Stegostoma tigrinum: one gene and its partner. The protein of the gene in region 1 purifies or fractionates together with the protein of each later gene. This does not show direct contact. Links are inferred from orthologs where the notes say so. Each region holds a gene or a part of one and is shown in the gene's direction. Other genes may lie near its edges.

Region 1 (7,556 bases):
CAACATCCTTTCCACTTTTGGTGGTCTGCAGACTACACTGCACAATGTTATTGTACTATTTTTATTCTGTAACTCTAGCCAAATTGAGCCCGTCCTTGAATCCTCTGAGACATCTTCCTTCTCGAGGACTGAAATACCTCCTTAACTGATACTACTATTACTCCTCCTTTACCTATTTTCCACCTCTCCTGAACAACTTATATTCAGGAATAATTAACACCGAGCCTCACGCTTCCTTCCACCAAGTTTCTATCACTGCCACATCATAATTCTACGTTGCAATCTTCACCTGTAACTTCCCAACCTTATTTATTATGCTTCATGCACTTATATGTATACATATTTATTCTGTTTTGGACTTACCTTTCTCCTCGACTTCTTGAAATTCACCTATTTGTGACTCACAATGCTAGTGCCAGGCTTTTTCAAAGTGTTTTGCAGGTCTGACATTTTCCTTAATTATTCTTTCTTGATTCCCTCACATTGCCAAATTAGTTTAACTTGGAAATGAGGTGAATCAAATGGTTCAAGTGTCAGTGAGACAACATTCAGCCCTCCCAATGACACAAGCTGAATGCCCCACATCATACCCTGTTGCTCAGGGGCATTTTGCTTGCATGTTACCCTGTTGGTATGATGTGGCATTTGAAAATACACTCACTGATCTTACGACTCATACAAAATCATTGACTTTTTTATGGCCCTACCTCCTGGTCTTTTAGGTCTTAATTACTGGCATTGACTGCCATAGCTACCTGCTTCCATAATCTTTTGTGGCAGATGATTTCTTGGTTTCCTCCAGGTACAGATCATGTTTCTTACTGTTTACCTCATTCACTAAGGCCTCCAGAGCATCAGCTAAAACCTTGGAGGCCCATTTCTTGTATGTTGCGCCATTCTTCAGTTATTATATTCACTTAGTGTCATAGAGTTAAACAGACGGAAACAGACCCTTCAGTCCAACTTCTCTGCTCTCACTAGATATTCTAAACTGATTTGATCCCATTATATAGGTATTTGGCCTATATCCCTCTAAATGCTTCCATTTCATGCAGCCATCCAGATTCATTTTAACTGTTGTAATTGTATCTGCCTCCACCACTTCCACTGGCAGGTTGTTCCATAAGTGCACTAACCTCTGCACGAAAGAAATTGCACCTCAGATCCCTTTTAAATCTTGCCCCCCTCACCTTGAATCCATGCCCTCTAGTTATGAACTCTACTACCCTAGCAAAAAGACCTTGGCTATTCACCCCATCCGTGCCCCTCATGATTTTATAAACCTCAATAAGGTCACCCCTGCCTCTGATGCTCCAGCCTCACTCTATAACTCAAACATTCCAATCTTGGCAACATTCTCATAAATCTGTTCTGAAACTTTTCAAGTTTAAGATAACGAGGTGTAGAGCTGGATGAACACAGTAGGCCAGGCAGCATCAGAGGAGTGGGAAAGCTGATGTTTCGGGTCTGGACCTTTCTTCGGGGAAGGGGGCTCTGAAATAAATAGAGAGACGGGGAGGCAATGATAGAAGGTGGATAGAGGAGCAGATAGGTGGAGAGAAAACAGACAGGTCAAGGAGGCAGGGATGAAGCCAGTAAAGGTGAGTGTAGGTAGGGAGTTGGGATGGGGGTTAGTCGGTGGGGGTGGGTGATAGGGAAGATGGACAGGTCAAGGAGGCGGGGATGAGGCTAGTAGGTAGGAAGTGGGGGTGGGGGTTGGTCAGTGAGATGAGAGGAGTGGATAGGTGGAAGAAAAGATGGAGAGGTCAAGGAGGCGGGGATGAGATGGGCTAGTCTTGGGATGAGGTCGGGGCGGGGCAGTTTTGAAGCTTGTAAAGTCCACATTGAGGCCATTGGGCTGCAGGGTTCCCAAGCACAATATGAGGTGCTGTTCCTCCAGCCTTCGGGTGGCATTGTTGTGGCACTGGAGAAGACCCAGGATGGACATGTCATCCAAGGAGTGGGACGGGGAGTTGAAGTGGTTCACGACTGGGGTGTTGTCGCTTATCATGAACTGAGTGTAGGTGCTCCACAAAGCGGTCTCCAAACCTCCGCTTGGTTTCCCCGATGTGGAGGAGGCCAGATCGGGAACAGTGGATATAGTATACGACATTAGTGAATGTACAGGTGAGCATCTGTTTAATGTGGAAGGTTTTCTTGCGGCCTGGGATGGAGGTGAGGGGGGAGATATAGCACTTCCTGCGGTTGCAGGGAAAAGTGCCAGGGGTGTTGGGGTGAGTGGGGAGTGTGGAGGGGATGAGGGAGTCGTGGAGACAGCGGTTCCTCTGGAAGGCAGATAAGGGTGAGGAGGGAAATATGTCCTTGGTAGTGGGGTCAGATTGCAGGTGGCGGAAGTGGTAGAGAATGAAGTGTTGAATCCAGAGGTTGATGGGGTGATATGTGGGGACAAGGAGATTTCTGTCTTTGTTGTTATTGCGGGGAAGGGGTGTGAGGGCTGAGGTGCGGGAAACGTGAGAGATGTGGTCAAGGGCGTTCTTGACCACTGTGGAGGGGACATTGCACCTATAGCCTCACCCCACCATCTTAACCTGTCCATCTTCCCTCCCACGTACTCGTCCCTCCCTCCTCACTGACCAACCCCCATCCCAAATCCCCACCTACACCCACCTTTACTGGCCTAATCCCCATCTCCTTGACCTGTCCGTCTTCTCTCTACCTATCTGCTCCTCTGTCAAACTTCTATCATCGCATCCCCCTCTATTTTTTTCAGAGCCCCCTTCCCCTCCCCCATTCCTGAAGAAGGTTCCTGACCCAAAACGTCAGCTTTCCTGCTCCTCTGATGCTGTCTGGCCTGCTGTGTTCATCCAGCTCTACACCTTGTCATCTCAGACTCCAGCATCAGCAATTCCTACTATCTCTTTTCAAGTTTAATATCTTTCCTACAGGAGGGAGGCCACAACTGAACACAGTATTCTAAAAGTAGCCTCACTTTATATGACTTTATATGCAATATGATGTCCCAACTTCTATACTCGATGCATTGACCAATGGAGGCAAGCTTGCCAAATACCTTCTTCACCATCCTGTCTACCTGTGACTCCACTTCCAAAAGGATGCGCCTGCACCCTTAGTTCTCTTTGTTCGGCGCACTCACCACTGTTCGGCCATCAGCTGTAGAAGTCTTGGCCTGGTTTGCCTTAGCAAGATGCAAAACCTAAAACATATCCAAATTAAACCTCATCAGCCATTTCTTGGCCCATGTGATCAAGGCCTTCTTGTCCTTTGAGATAACCTTCTTCACTGTCCACTACACCACCCATTTTGGTGTCATCTGTAAACATACTAACATAATTGCCAAAATATTCCCCTTTAAGTGGTGTAGACTAGCTTTGAATGCAGCTATCCACTCGTGATATGGCACCCTTTTCAGACATACATAATCAATAGTGGTTGCTTAGCATTGAGTGAAAAAGTTCAGGTGGTACACAGCACAAAATTGATGTGATCGTTGCTGCTTTTCATTTAATGTGTTTGAGTTAGTCACAGTCTCCAAGCCTGTCTTTTTTTCAGGAGGGAGAAAATTACATTTGCATTTATGGTGCTTCATACTATCAAGGAACATCGCCAAGTGTACAACCAAAATGAAACATTACATTGAAACATAGAAAATAGGTGCAGGAGTAGGTCATTCAGCCCTTCAAGCCTGTACCACCATTCAAAATGATCATGGCTGATCATGCAATTTCATTATCCCGTTTCCACTTTCTCTCCACACCCATTGATCCCTTTAAGTTATAAGGGCCACGTCCAGCTCCAACTTGAATATATCTGATGAAGTGGCCCCACAACTCTCTGAGGTAGAGAATTCCACAAATTCACTACTCTCTGAGTGAAGAAATTCCTCCTCATCTCAGTCCTGAATGGCCTACTACTTATTCTTAGATTGTGACCCTTAGTTCTGGACTTCCTCTACATCAGGAACATTCTTCCCACGGAATTTTATATGTTTCCAGGAGATCCCCGTCATTCGTCTAAATTCCAGTGAGTACGAACCAAGTTGATTCAGTCTTTCTTCATATGTCAATAATTACCATGTGCAATTTCTATTCAGCTAGATTCTGCTATTTTGTGGCTATCAAAATTATCTTTTAATGCTCCAGTCCCCAGCCAACTGCTTGTTTGGTCAACAGTTCCAAGTGATTGCTGCTGGCTGGTCAGTGCCTTTTGACACTTCCAGCAGTCGAAAGGGTAACTGGAATCGTTGGATCCATTCCCTCCGGGTGTAAGTTCCCGTGTGACAGAATAATTTGAGAACAGACTGAGGCAGCTAGCTGCTTTCAATCAGGTTCTTGATTTTGCTATAAGTATACAATTGTTATTTCGAAACAGTTTGCAGCTCCAACCGGCAACATCAAGTTAAACGTCACCAAGGAGACGGCGCCACCATCAAAATCACCCAGCCCTCTCCTCGCCATTGACGTCATGTCCGGGCCTGTTACGGAGCGCTTCCTTTTTCTCTGCGGCCCGGTGGACGCGCGTTGTTCTGAGGCTGAGTCCTCTGCTGCAATCCGTTTTCATCCGTCTATAGGACGCCCCATCTCCACTCAAAATGACGGAGCAGATGACCCTTCGTGGCACCCTAAAAGGCCACAGTGGCTGGGTGACACAAATTGCCACAACCCCGCAGTTTCCTGACATGATTCTGTCCGCGTCCCGAGGTACTCTTCGTGGAGGGGGAGGGAAGAGGACCGGGGTGCGGGCTCTATCCGCCGCCAAAGGCGGACCGAGCAGCCGTTTCTCGGCCGTATGTTTTATCATGAATGCCTGTTTCTCTTTTAGTCCCGTTATGTTAACTTTTCGAGTTGTCTGTAGCCGGACTTCTTCACGGTTTACACGTAGATAGTTTTACGGCCCTCCGTTGCTTATTAGGCCCGGCTCTCAGTCGATTGCAACGAGTCACTGCTGCTGACACACAAGCTCGAATGCTGCAGAACCACGTTGTGTGTCCATCAGGAGGCTAAAACTGAAACGTTAGAACACGGAACATACGAACTAGGAAGAGGAGTAGGCCGTCCGGGCCTTCGAGTCTGCTCCGCCTTTCAAGATTTTTGATAGCCAGGGGATATCACTTTTTTAAGAGTTCAATAACTTGAGGTTAATTACCGACCTGTGGGCTTTAACGAGTTAAAGTGGTTTACTGCCGGTGCATTAATTTATACTTACAAATATGCCAATGCTTGCAGAATGAGTAACAAATTGAGTGTTGTCTTATTTCTGATGTAAAGGGACATTGCACAGGCAAAACATCTGTGGATGTGGGAAGTCTAAAACAGAAACTGGTGGAGTGTGGAGAGAGCACCCCGTTAATGTATTCTTTTCAATTCTATTCTTTGGGCAAATAACATTTATAGAAGAAAAGTATGTTTCAAATTAATCTTTGAAAGTATTGAAATCTGAAATGCCACGTTTCCAGACCTAAAATAACTTGCATTACTTTATCACACTTAAAGTAAAATGCCCCAAGGAATCTTGCAGGAATATTACTAGTTTTGTTTCTAATTTTGAGCAAAAGTGAGCTATTTGGTTTTTAGAAAACTTAAATGTATTACATCAGTTCATACCCTAACTGGAAAGTAACTTTTCATATAGCAAACTGTGACCTTAATCTAAATGCAGTGTTCTAAAAGCTTATTTCTGCTTACAGATAAAACAATTATCATGTGGAAGCTAACTAGGGATGAGACCAGCTATGGTGTCCCACAGCGTTCCCTCAGTGGCCACTCTCACTTTATTAGTGATGTAGTCATTTCTTCTGATGGTCAGTTTGCCCTTTCTGGTTCCTGGGATGGAACTCTACGACTTTGGGATTTGACAATGTAAGAATGCAAATAATTTATTGCCTACAATCAGATTTTTAATAAGAGTGGAATAATTTGTTGCGGGTGCATTTTAAATGTTTTTAATGGTACTTGTTCCAAAGAAATTAATAGACATTTTTGCTTGATTATTTGCAGTCGTTTCTTTCACTACTTGTTGGGATGATTAATACAATTCCTCTTCCAGGGGATCGACTACACGTCGATTTGTAGGTCACACCAAGGACGTACTGAGTGTTGCCTTTTCAGCTGATAATCGCCAAATTGTGTCTGGTTCCCGTGACAAAACTGTAAAACTGTGGAACACATTAGGTGTTTGCAAATACACCATCCAGGTAACTCAGACACAATTACTTTTCCAAGCATGGCTATTACACTATGTAGGGGAAAAATATCTCACTTTGTTATTACGTATTTGGCATTCATGTGCAAAATTCTCAGGCAGCAGAAGCTGAAACATTGAATATCTCATTGTCAATTCTATTCAAATGATAATTGTGAACTTAAGGAATCTACAGTACGTCTTTTGCTTTGAAATTCCCATGTATTTAATTGCATTCCTACTTACGTACAGAAAGAAGTTAATTCTCAAGAAGTTGACTGCCTGGCAGCTGGTCTGAATGTTGTGTTTTACCTTTCCACCCAAACTGAACACATGAACTGGTAGTGATTATTTTGTTCGAGATGTGGCTGGAGGGTTTTCTGAAATGGTAGCAAGTTCGTATCGATAGTTTAAATGCAATGGCTAGACAAGTATAGCACACAGTTAAGTTCTAAATTATATGCTTAATTTACAGTGATAAATGAATGAACTGTGTTTATCCTTTGCTCAATTCAGTTGTAGACTTCTTAGTTACACCATTTGAAATAACATGAGTATGGTTACTACATAATAGAAAGGAGATGTGAGCGTGAATATAAATGGCTGAACATTGAGTTCAACAGTGTTTGGTATTTCTTGAGTTGCTTAATATTTAATTGAACAGCAAAAATAGCAGGGCCACCAGTCTGGAAATTTATCATATGAATGAGACTTTGCTTTTAAGAAGCGAGATAAGGTCAGCCCCTTTTACTGGTTGGGCACTAGGATGTGTTTGTTTATTATAGCCAAACTTGCTGACTCTATAGGTAAGGAAGCTGGTTGTGAGGATACAGTTTGCAAAGCCATTTAATTAGTATGAATGAATGGTTGATATTTTGGCATAAGTGTGGGAGACAATAAGATTATCCACTTGCCGGGAAGAATAGGAAAGCAGAAAATTGAATATGATACACAAATCTGCGTAGCTACTTGTATGAATTTCAACTGTTAGAATGTAGAAGCAGCAACTAATTGTGGGAAGTTGCACAGGGTGTTGGAGTACAATTTATAGTTTGAGCTTTAATTACAACGGGACATGCTTGCATTAGAGGCAGTTCAGAATGAGCGGTTGATTTGAGGAAAGGTTAGGCCTTTGACCTCAGTTGAGAAGAATGAGTAATCTTGTTGAAAAGTACCTCGGGGCTTGGAAGGTAACATTGAAATTGTTTTACCTTGTGGAGGAGCCTAGAAAAAATTGGCAGTTGCAGAATGGGAGAATATTTCTGACTTAAAGTTTGAGATGAAAGCAAATTTCTTGGCTCATTAATGGAATTGTGCATCCTCTGAGTAGTGACTTTCTCATATTCATGATGAACTTACAGATTATTGTACCTTGAAATCAGTTATGGAGAACAGGC
Region 2 (7,248 bases), on another chromosome or scaffold:
TTTAACAGCTGGTAATATAAATAAACAAACTATTGATTTGTAGATGCGTCTAAACTAATTATATTAATTTTGTTTTAAATAATTTTCTTCCTCAGGGTGGCACTGTTACCTCCATAAAACAATATGACAAGGCTCCTGTTATTCTTGTTCCAGAGTCTTGTTACTTTAGAGCTCTTTAGACCTAACAGAGCCAAAAGGACAGAGATAATGGGAACTGCAGATGCTGGAGAATTCCAAGATAATAAAATGTGAGGCTGGATGAACACAGCAGGCCAAGCAGCATCTCAGGAGCACAAAAGCTGACGTTTCGGGCCTGGACCCTTCATCAGAAAAATTTTCCCCACACTTTGTTATCTTAGCCAAAGGACACATTGGCGATAAATTTTCCAGAGTTGCGGCTATTAAAATGGCTTACCAACATTATGCAGCATGGTATACAACTGTAGAAAATTATACCCTATTAACTTGAACCATTACCCTACATCATTCTAGGCCATTTCATGAGACTTGAGATTAAGTTTGCTGATGTAAGACCATTGGGATCACTGTTTGTGGTGTCATTTATACCATTGCAGAATGGTGTTTGTGTGTGAGCAAATCATCAAGGAAACACATGTAAAAGTGGTAATATTACTTATTGTAATTATTGTTGATATCTCTCTCAACTGTAAGTCATCAGTTAGGGCTTCATGTCCCTCTCCAGAGACTTGAGCACAAAAACCTAATAAGACACTTCATTTTTCGAAGATGCTGCCTGTTGAATATTAACATAGGCCTACATGTAACAGATTGGCGGACATAAGAAACTTCATGATGCTATTTTTTAAAAAAGAACAAGGGCATTCTCCCAAGCACCCTGACCAATGTTGCTAAAAGATAACATTGAATAAAAAAACTTGAGAACTACAGGTGCTGTAAATCGGAAACTAAAGCAGAAGTTGGTGGAAAAGCTCAACTGGTCTAACAGCATGTGTGAAGAGAAATCAGAGTTAATGTTTTGGTCTAGTGAAGAAAACATTACCTAGTTTTTCTAAATAAGCAGCAAAAAGGAAGGTTTGCATTGAAGCATTCTTTTCACATTTCCCCATCTTCTGGCAAAACACAAGAAATTATTCACAGATGCCAAAGTAATTAAAGAATCAACAACTCGGGCCACCGATTATTATTTATAGACCTTAAGAACAAAGAAAAAATAATAACAACAATATGGAGCAGGTTACTTGATGCTTATACCATAGCAAAACAAGTGGAACCTTTGTCTGAAGAGGTCTATCAACAAGTACAGCAGGTCTTGAAGGAATGTGAACACTTCCGAATCCGCTGACATGGCTGGCACAGCCCAGTTGATTGTTCTTGTGCGTATGCTTCTTAAGGAATATTAACTAAACTGCTCACGCTTTTCCCCTTTAAAGATGGGACAAGGGGTGAGGATATCTATAACAAATTCAAAAGGCAGGTGTGTGAGAAAAACATTCTCATCAAGAAACTGGTTTCCATCACAACTGATGGAACCTCAGTGATGCGTGGCACAAATGCATGCTTTGTTACATTTTGCAGAAACGGTCCTGATTTCCTGTCTATTTGTCAATTACCACCCTACAGTACATGATGAAGCAGAGTGATTTAAGTTATGGCCATCTGCCATGTAATAAAAGTTAAGATTGTAAACTCGATTTGAGCAAAACTTCTTGAGCATCACAAAAGCTGTATTCATTGAACTCGATGACAATGGGAACTGCAGATGCTGGAGAATCCAAGATAACAAAGTGGGAGGCTGGATGAACACAGCAAGCCAAGTAGCATCTCAGGAGCACAAAAGCTGATGTTTCGGGCCTAGACCCTTCATCAGAGATCCCTAAATTTGAATGTATTGTGATAAGATTTCCAGCAGAAAAGCAGGCAAGTTATGTTATTTCAAATTGTTGGAAATACATAATTTGACTTAATCATGTATGGATATACATAAATTAACTCCCTTCACAACCAAAACAGCGTGTACTAAAGATTCATTGCAAGGCACCTTTGAAAGAATCCTACAAACGGGAGACCTTTATCTGCAAATTACCCTCCAAGAAATAAACTGTCCTGGCTTGAAAATGTATCTTTAAGCATCACTACGTTAAAGTCCTGGAACCATAGAAATTCAATTCTGAAAAAAAAACCCATTCTCCAGCACCCTCGAAATTCATTACTTTCAAATATATACTGTCTCCCTAACAGCACTGGGTGGGGGTCGATACACCTCAAGGACTACAGAGATTGAAAACAAAATCAACTCACCACCACCTTCTCACGGACTAGAAAGGATGGGCACATACCTAGTCAGTATTCTTGATATCCAATGTAGAATTTTCTTTTAAAAAGTCACATTTTAATTGATTGAGGTTGGAGCAAGTCAGAGAAAGATGTTGGAAGTAGAGCAGCCCCTGCCACCCTTCATGTATCTCTTCACTGTCTCAGCTATTTCTGCTCCAGCCTGCAAATACTACCCTTCACCTACCACTTCAGCCCCTCATCTGCTCCAACCTTTTAAATGCTCCCCCAACCCGGCCCCTGCTCCATCCCGTCGCCTGCTCCAACCCTCTCCCTGCCCCTCCAACCCGTCGCCTGCCCCAACCCTCTCCCTGCCCCTCCAACCCGTCGCCTGCCCCTCCAACCCGTCGCCTGCTCCCCCAACCCTTTCCCGCCTGCCCCTCCAACCCGTCGCCTGCTCCCCCAACCCTTTCCCGCCTGCCCCTCCAACCCGTCGCCTGCCCCTCCAACCCGTCGCCAGCTCCAAACCTCTACCTGCCCCTCCATCCCGTCGCCTGCCCCTCCATCCCGTCGCCTGCCCCTCAAACCCGTCGCCTGCCCCTCAAACCCGTCGCCTGCCCCTCAAACCCGTCGCCTGCCCCTCAAACCCGTCGCCTGCCCCTCAAACCCGTCGCCTGCCCCTCAAACCCGTCGCCTGCCCCTCAAACCCGTCGCCTGCCCCTCAAACCCGTCGCCTGCCCCTCAAACCCGTCGCCTGCCCCTCAAACCCGTCGCCTGCCCCTCAAACCCGTCGCCTGCCCCTCCAACCCGTCGCCTGCTCCCCCAACCCTGTCCCTGCTCCTCCAACCCGTCGCCTGCTCCAACCCTGTCCCTGCCCCTCCAACCCGTCGCCCCCTCCAACCCTCTACCTGCCCCCCCAACCCTCTACCTGCCCCCCCAACCCGTCGCCTGCCCCCCCAACCCGTCGCCTGCCCCCCCAACCCGTCGCCTGCGCCAACCCACTACCTGCCCCTCCAACCCGTCGCCTGCGCCAACCCTCCACCTGCCCGCCAAACCCGTCGCCTGCTCCAACCCTCTCCCTGCCCCTCCAACCCGTCGCCTGCTCCAACCCTCTACCTGCCCCTCCAACCCGTCGCCTGCTCCAACCCTCTCCCTGCCCCTCCAACCCGTCGCCTGCTCCAACCCTCTCCCTGCCCCTCCAACCCGTCGCCTGCTCCAACCCTCTACCTGCCCCTCCAACCCGTCGCCTGCTCCAACCCTCTCCCTGCCCCTCCAACCCGTCGCCTGCTCCAACCCTCTCCCTGCCCCTCCAACCCGTCGCCTGCTCCAACCCTCTCCCTGCCCCTCCAACCCGTCGCCTGCTCCAACCCTCTCCCTGCCCCCCCAACCCGTCGCCCGCCCCCCCAAACCGTCACCTGCTCCAACCCTCTCCCTGCTCCTCCAACGCGTCGCCTGCTCCAACCCTCTCCCTGCTCCTCCATCCCGTCGCCTGCTCCAACCCTCTCCCTGCCCCTCCAACCCGTCGCCTCCTCCAACCCTCTCCCTGCCCCTCCAACCCTCTACCTGCCCCCCCCAACCCGTCGCCTGCTCCAACCCTCTCCCTGCCCCTCCAACCCTCTACCTGCCCCCCCCAACCCGTCGCCTGCGCCAACCCTCTACCTGCCCCTCAACGCCGTCGCCTGCTCCAACCCTCCGCCTGCCCCTCCAACACATCGCCCACTCCTCCAGCCTCTCACCTGTTCTAACCTTTTAAATGCTGTTCCCATCCCTTAACTACTGCTGCAGCTCTTCGCCTGTTCCAACCCCTCACCTGATACTGCTGTGGTGGAACATTCTCAACGGTGCGCTCCCCTGGAAATACTCGCGCAGGCGCAGTGGGCCAGCTTCCCACAATGCCTCGGGGGACGCTGACAAGTGGATCCAAGATGGCGCAAAAGTAAAGGCAAAGGTAGGTGCGGAGTTGTGTTGGTGTCTGAGCCGCTGCGCGCTCCGGGCTGGTCCCTCCCCGGAGCCTTACGATGGTTGGGGAGAAGAGTTTGGAGAAGTCGGCGAGGGTGCCTGTGGTGGCGGAGCTGTCAGTCTGTTGTTTGAAGGAGGCTGTTGGGGGGGGGGGTCGGTGTTACTGAGGCCGCCTTTCAATCCAAGGCCTGGGGATGGTGATATCAACAGGCCGGCTCATCGCCCTTTTTCCCTGCCTGCAGTTAATGTCGCCGAGTTTAGGAGAGAGCTCAGCTCTGGGAAGTGTACAGGCCCAGGGCTTGTCGAGGCCAGAGAGTAGATCGTGTAAACAAGTGGCGGCGGTGGGGGTTGTGCCGGATGGGCTGGGAAGCACCGCCGTGCTCTCTTCACATTATTCCCTCTCACTGTTCTCCCCAACCACTTCGTTATGTCTCTGTTGGGAAAATAATGCACCTTTACTGCTACAGTGGTCTGTTTATTGTTAGAGCACTTCCTATTCGCCTGCTTTTTCTTTTGTTTACCTGCTTGATTTTAATAAGATTTGCAAAATCGATCTTTAAAGCAAGCAACTTTTTTTTTATATAAAAAGAAGTTTCTTCTCACTGGTGTTACATGACTGATAAAAGCCCTCAAATGAGGGCGAACTTTTCGCCGAGTCTCATTAATATTATTTTATGGACGCTTGTTTTGAAGTAGGATTCTTTTACCACTATATTACATTATTTACTGGCATTCAGCAAAACTTCTGTCAGTTAAACTGATCTGATCTTTGTAGTTGTCATGCTAATAAGGAATTTAAAATATTTTTACTAATCCTTTTGTGAAATAATGATATTACAAATTTCAAACCTTGTATCCAAAACATGAACTTTTGCATTTTGTTTTGTTCTCAGCTCCTGATGGTATGGAATTATACAACTGAAAGTTTATTGGAACTGTAATAAATCAGCTGCCTTTGTCTTATTTCTCAGCTATTTTTGTTTTTTATTGCACATTAGATTGCTTAAATAAATATTTACTAATTTTCATGTAAATGTACTTGAGTTTAATATGAGCAGATTACCCCCTCCCCCCAACTGCACAAACTCCTGGAGTTATCCTCTTCTTCACTTTGCTGTCTCTTTCGTCTTGATCCTGATCCATTTATGTTTCCTCACTGTCAACACTCTTTGTCTGCTCCTGATGAAGGGTCTGCACTCTGAATGTTTGTGATTTCAAATAAACCTGTTGGACTATAATTTGGTGTCGTGTGACTTCTAACACTCAAGTGTTTTGAAATGCCTTCAGAGTGAGTGTTTATTTAATGATACCTTGTTAATGATTGAAACATGCTAAAGCCTGAGGGGATTTGGCAGGGTAAATGTGGAGAGGATATTTCCTCTTAGGAGAGAATCTGGAACTAGGGTCTACTGTTTAAAAATTGAGAATTGATTTAAAATGCTGGTTGGTCAATATTTTTACCTGTCGTGGTTGGGAATTTTTGGACTGCTCTTCCTGAAAGGATGAATATTTATAAGGCAGAGCAAGACAGATTCTTGCTAAGGGTGTGAAAAGTAAGGCAGGCTGGAATTCAGATTTGAGGTTACAATCAGATCAGACATAATTTATTAGATGATAAAGCAAGTTCAATGGGCCGAATGGCCTGCTGTGGGCAGCACGATGCCTTACTAGTTAACACTGCTGCCTCACGGTACCAGAGATTCGGGTTCAATTCCAGCCTTGGGTGACTGTGTGGAGTTTGCACATTCTTCCTGTGTCTGTGTGGGTTTCCTCCTGGGTGCCCTGGTTTCTTCCCACAGTCCAAAGATGTGTGGATTAGGTGGTTTGATTATTTAAAAAAAAAAGTCTATAGCGTCCAGGGATGTGCAAGCTAGGTGGATTAGCCATGGGAAATGCAGGGTAACAGGGCTAGGGTAGGCGGGGGGTTGGGGGGGGTGGGTGTTGGTCGGGGTGGAATGTTGTTTGGAGGGTCGGTGTGGGCTTGATGGGCTGAATGGCCTATTGCCATGGTGTAGGGATTCAATGAATTTGAGTCAGTGATTATTTTGGAAAGGCATTATAACAGTCTGCCTTTTCTCACTTTTGAGGAGACTTGTATTGATGTTTGTCTTGAATATTGGTCTGGGTATGCACTGGTGACTATCTGCTTGTCTTCCTACTTCCCCATCTGAAAGCAGCTGTTTTCTGCCAAGGTACTGATTATATAAACGTGATGCTTTCCCTCTGGTTCCAGTTTGGTTGGAAGTGGCCACCATAATTTCCATTGTAATGCTCTTTAACGCAACGTTGGTGCACCATTGTGCTTGCTGCCATTGAGCACAAGAACACAGATGATCAATTTATAATGTACCAGCCAGGCATTTTGATTGATAACTGCTAACTTAGAACTAGCTCAAAAGTAGGAGACAGGGTGGTGGAGAAGGGTTGTTTTTCAGACAGGACGCCTGTAACCAGCGGCATACCAAAAAGATCGGTTTTGGGTCCACTGCTTTTGTCATTTATATAAATGATTTGGATGTGAACATGGGAGGTATGCTTCACAAGTTTGCAGATTGGTGGTGTCAGAGTACAACGGGACCTCGATCTGATGGAATGGCAGATGGAGTTAATTTAGATAAATGTGAGGTGCTGCATTTTAGAAAGGCAAATCAGGGCAGATTTATCCACTTAATGGTAAGGTCCTGGGGAGTGTTGCTGAACGGAGAGACCTTAGAGTGCAGGTTCATATTTCCTTGAAAGTGCAGGTTGACGGGGTAGTGAAGAACGTGTTTGATATGCTTGCCTTTATTGGTCAGTGCATTGAGTGTAGGATTTGGGAGGTCATGTGGCTGTACAGGACATTGGTTAGGTCACTTGTAGAATACTGTGCGCTATTCTGGTCTCCCTGCTTTGTGAAGGATGTTGTGAAACTTGAAAGGGTTCAGAAAAGATTTACAAGGATGTTACCAACGTTGGAGGGTTTGAACTGTAGGGAGAGGCTGAACAGGTTGGGGCTATTTTTCCTGGAGCATCAGAAATTGAGGGGGTGACCTTTAT

What was found. Proteins that work in one complex are often made in the same cells at the same time.
Region 2: the proteins of rack1 (region 1) and helz purify together in Homo sapiens (affinity purification with mass spectrometry; 3 studies listed by BioGRID and IntAct, counting the BioPlex papers as one, with this or other methods). This does not show direct contact. The link is inferred for Stegostoma tigrinum from reciprocal best matches to the Homo sapiens genes RACK1 and HELZ.

The regions. Positions count from the first base shown.
Region 1 is NC_081366.1:36,420,930-36,428,485, forward strand, and holds the start of rack1 (small ribosomal subunit protein RACK1), read left to right. Parts: upstream 1-4,456; 5' UTR 4,457-4,570; coding exon 4,571-4,679; intron 4,680-5,665; coding exon 5,666-5,837; intron 5,838-6,024; coding exon 6,025-6,172; intron 6,173-7,556. UniProt on the Homo sapiens protein: Scaffolding protein involved in the recruitment, assembly and/or regulation of a variety of signaling molecules. Interacts with a wide variety of proteins and plays a role in many cellular processes.
Region 2 is NC_081375.1:9,906,307-9,913,554, reverse strand, and holds the start of helz (probable helicase with zinc finger domain), read left to right. Parts: upstream 1-4,154; 5' UTR 4,155-4,201; intron 4,202-7,248. UniProt on the Homo sapiens protein: May act as a helicase that plays a role in RNA metabolism in multiple tissues and organs within the developing embryo.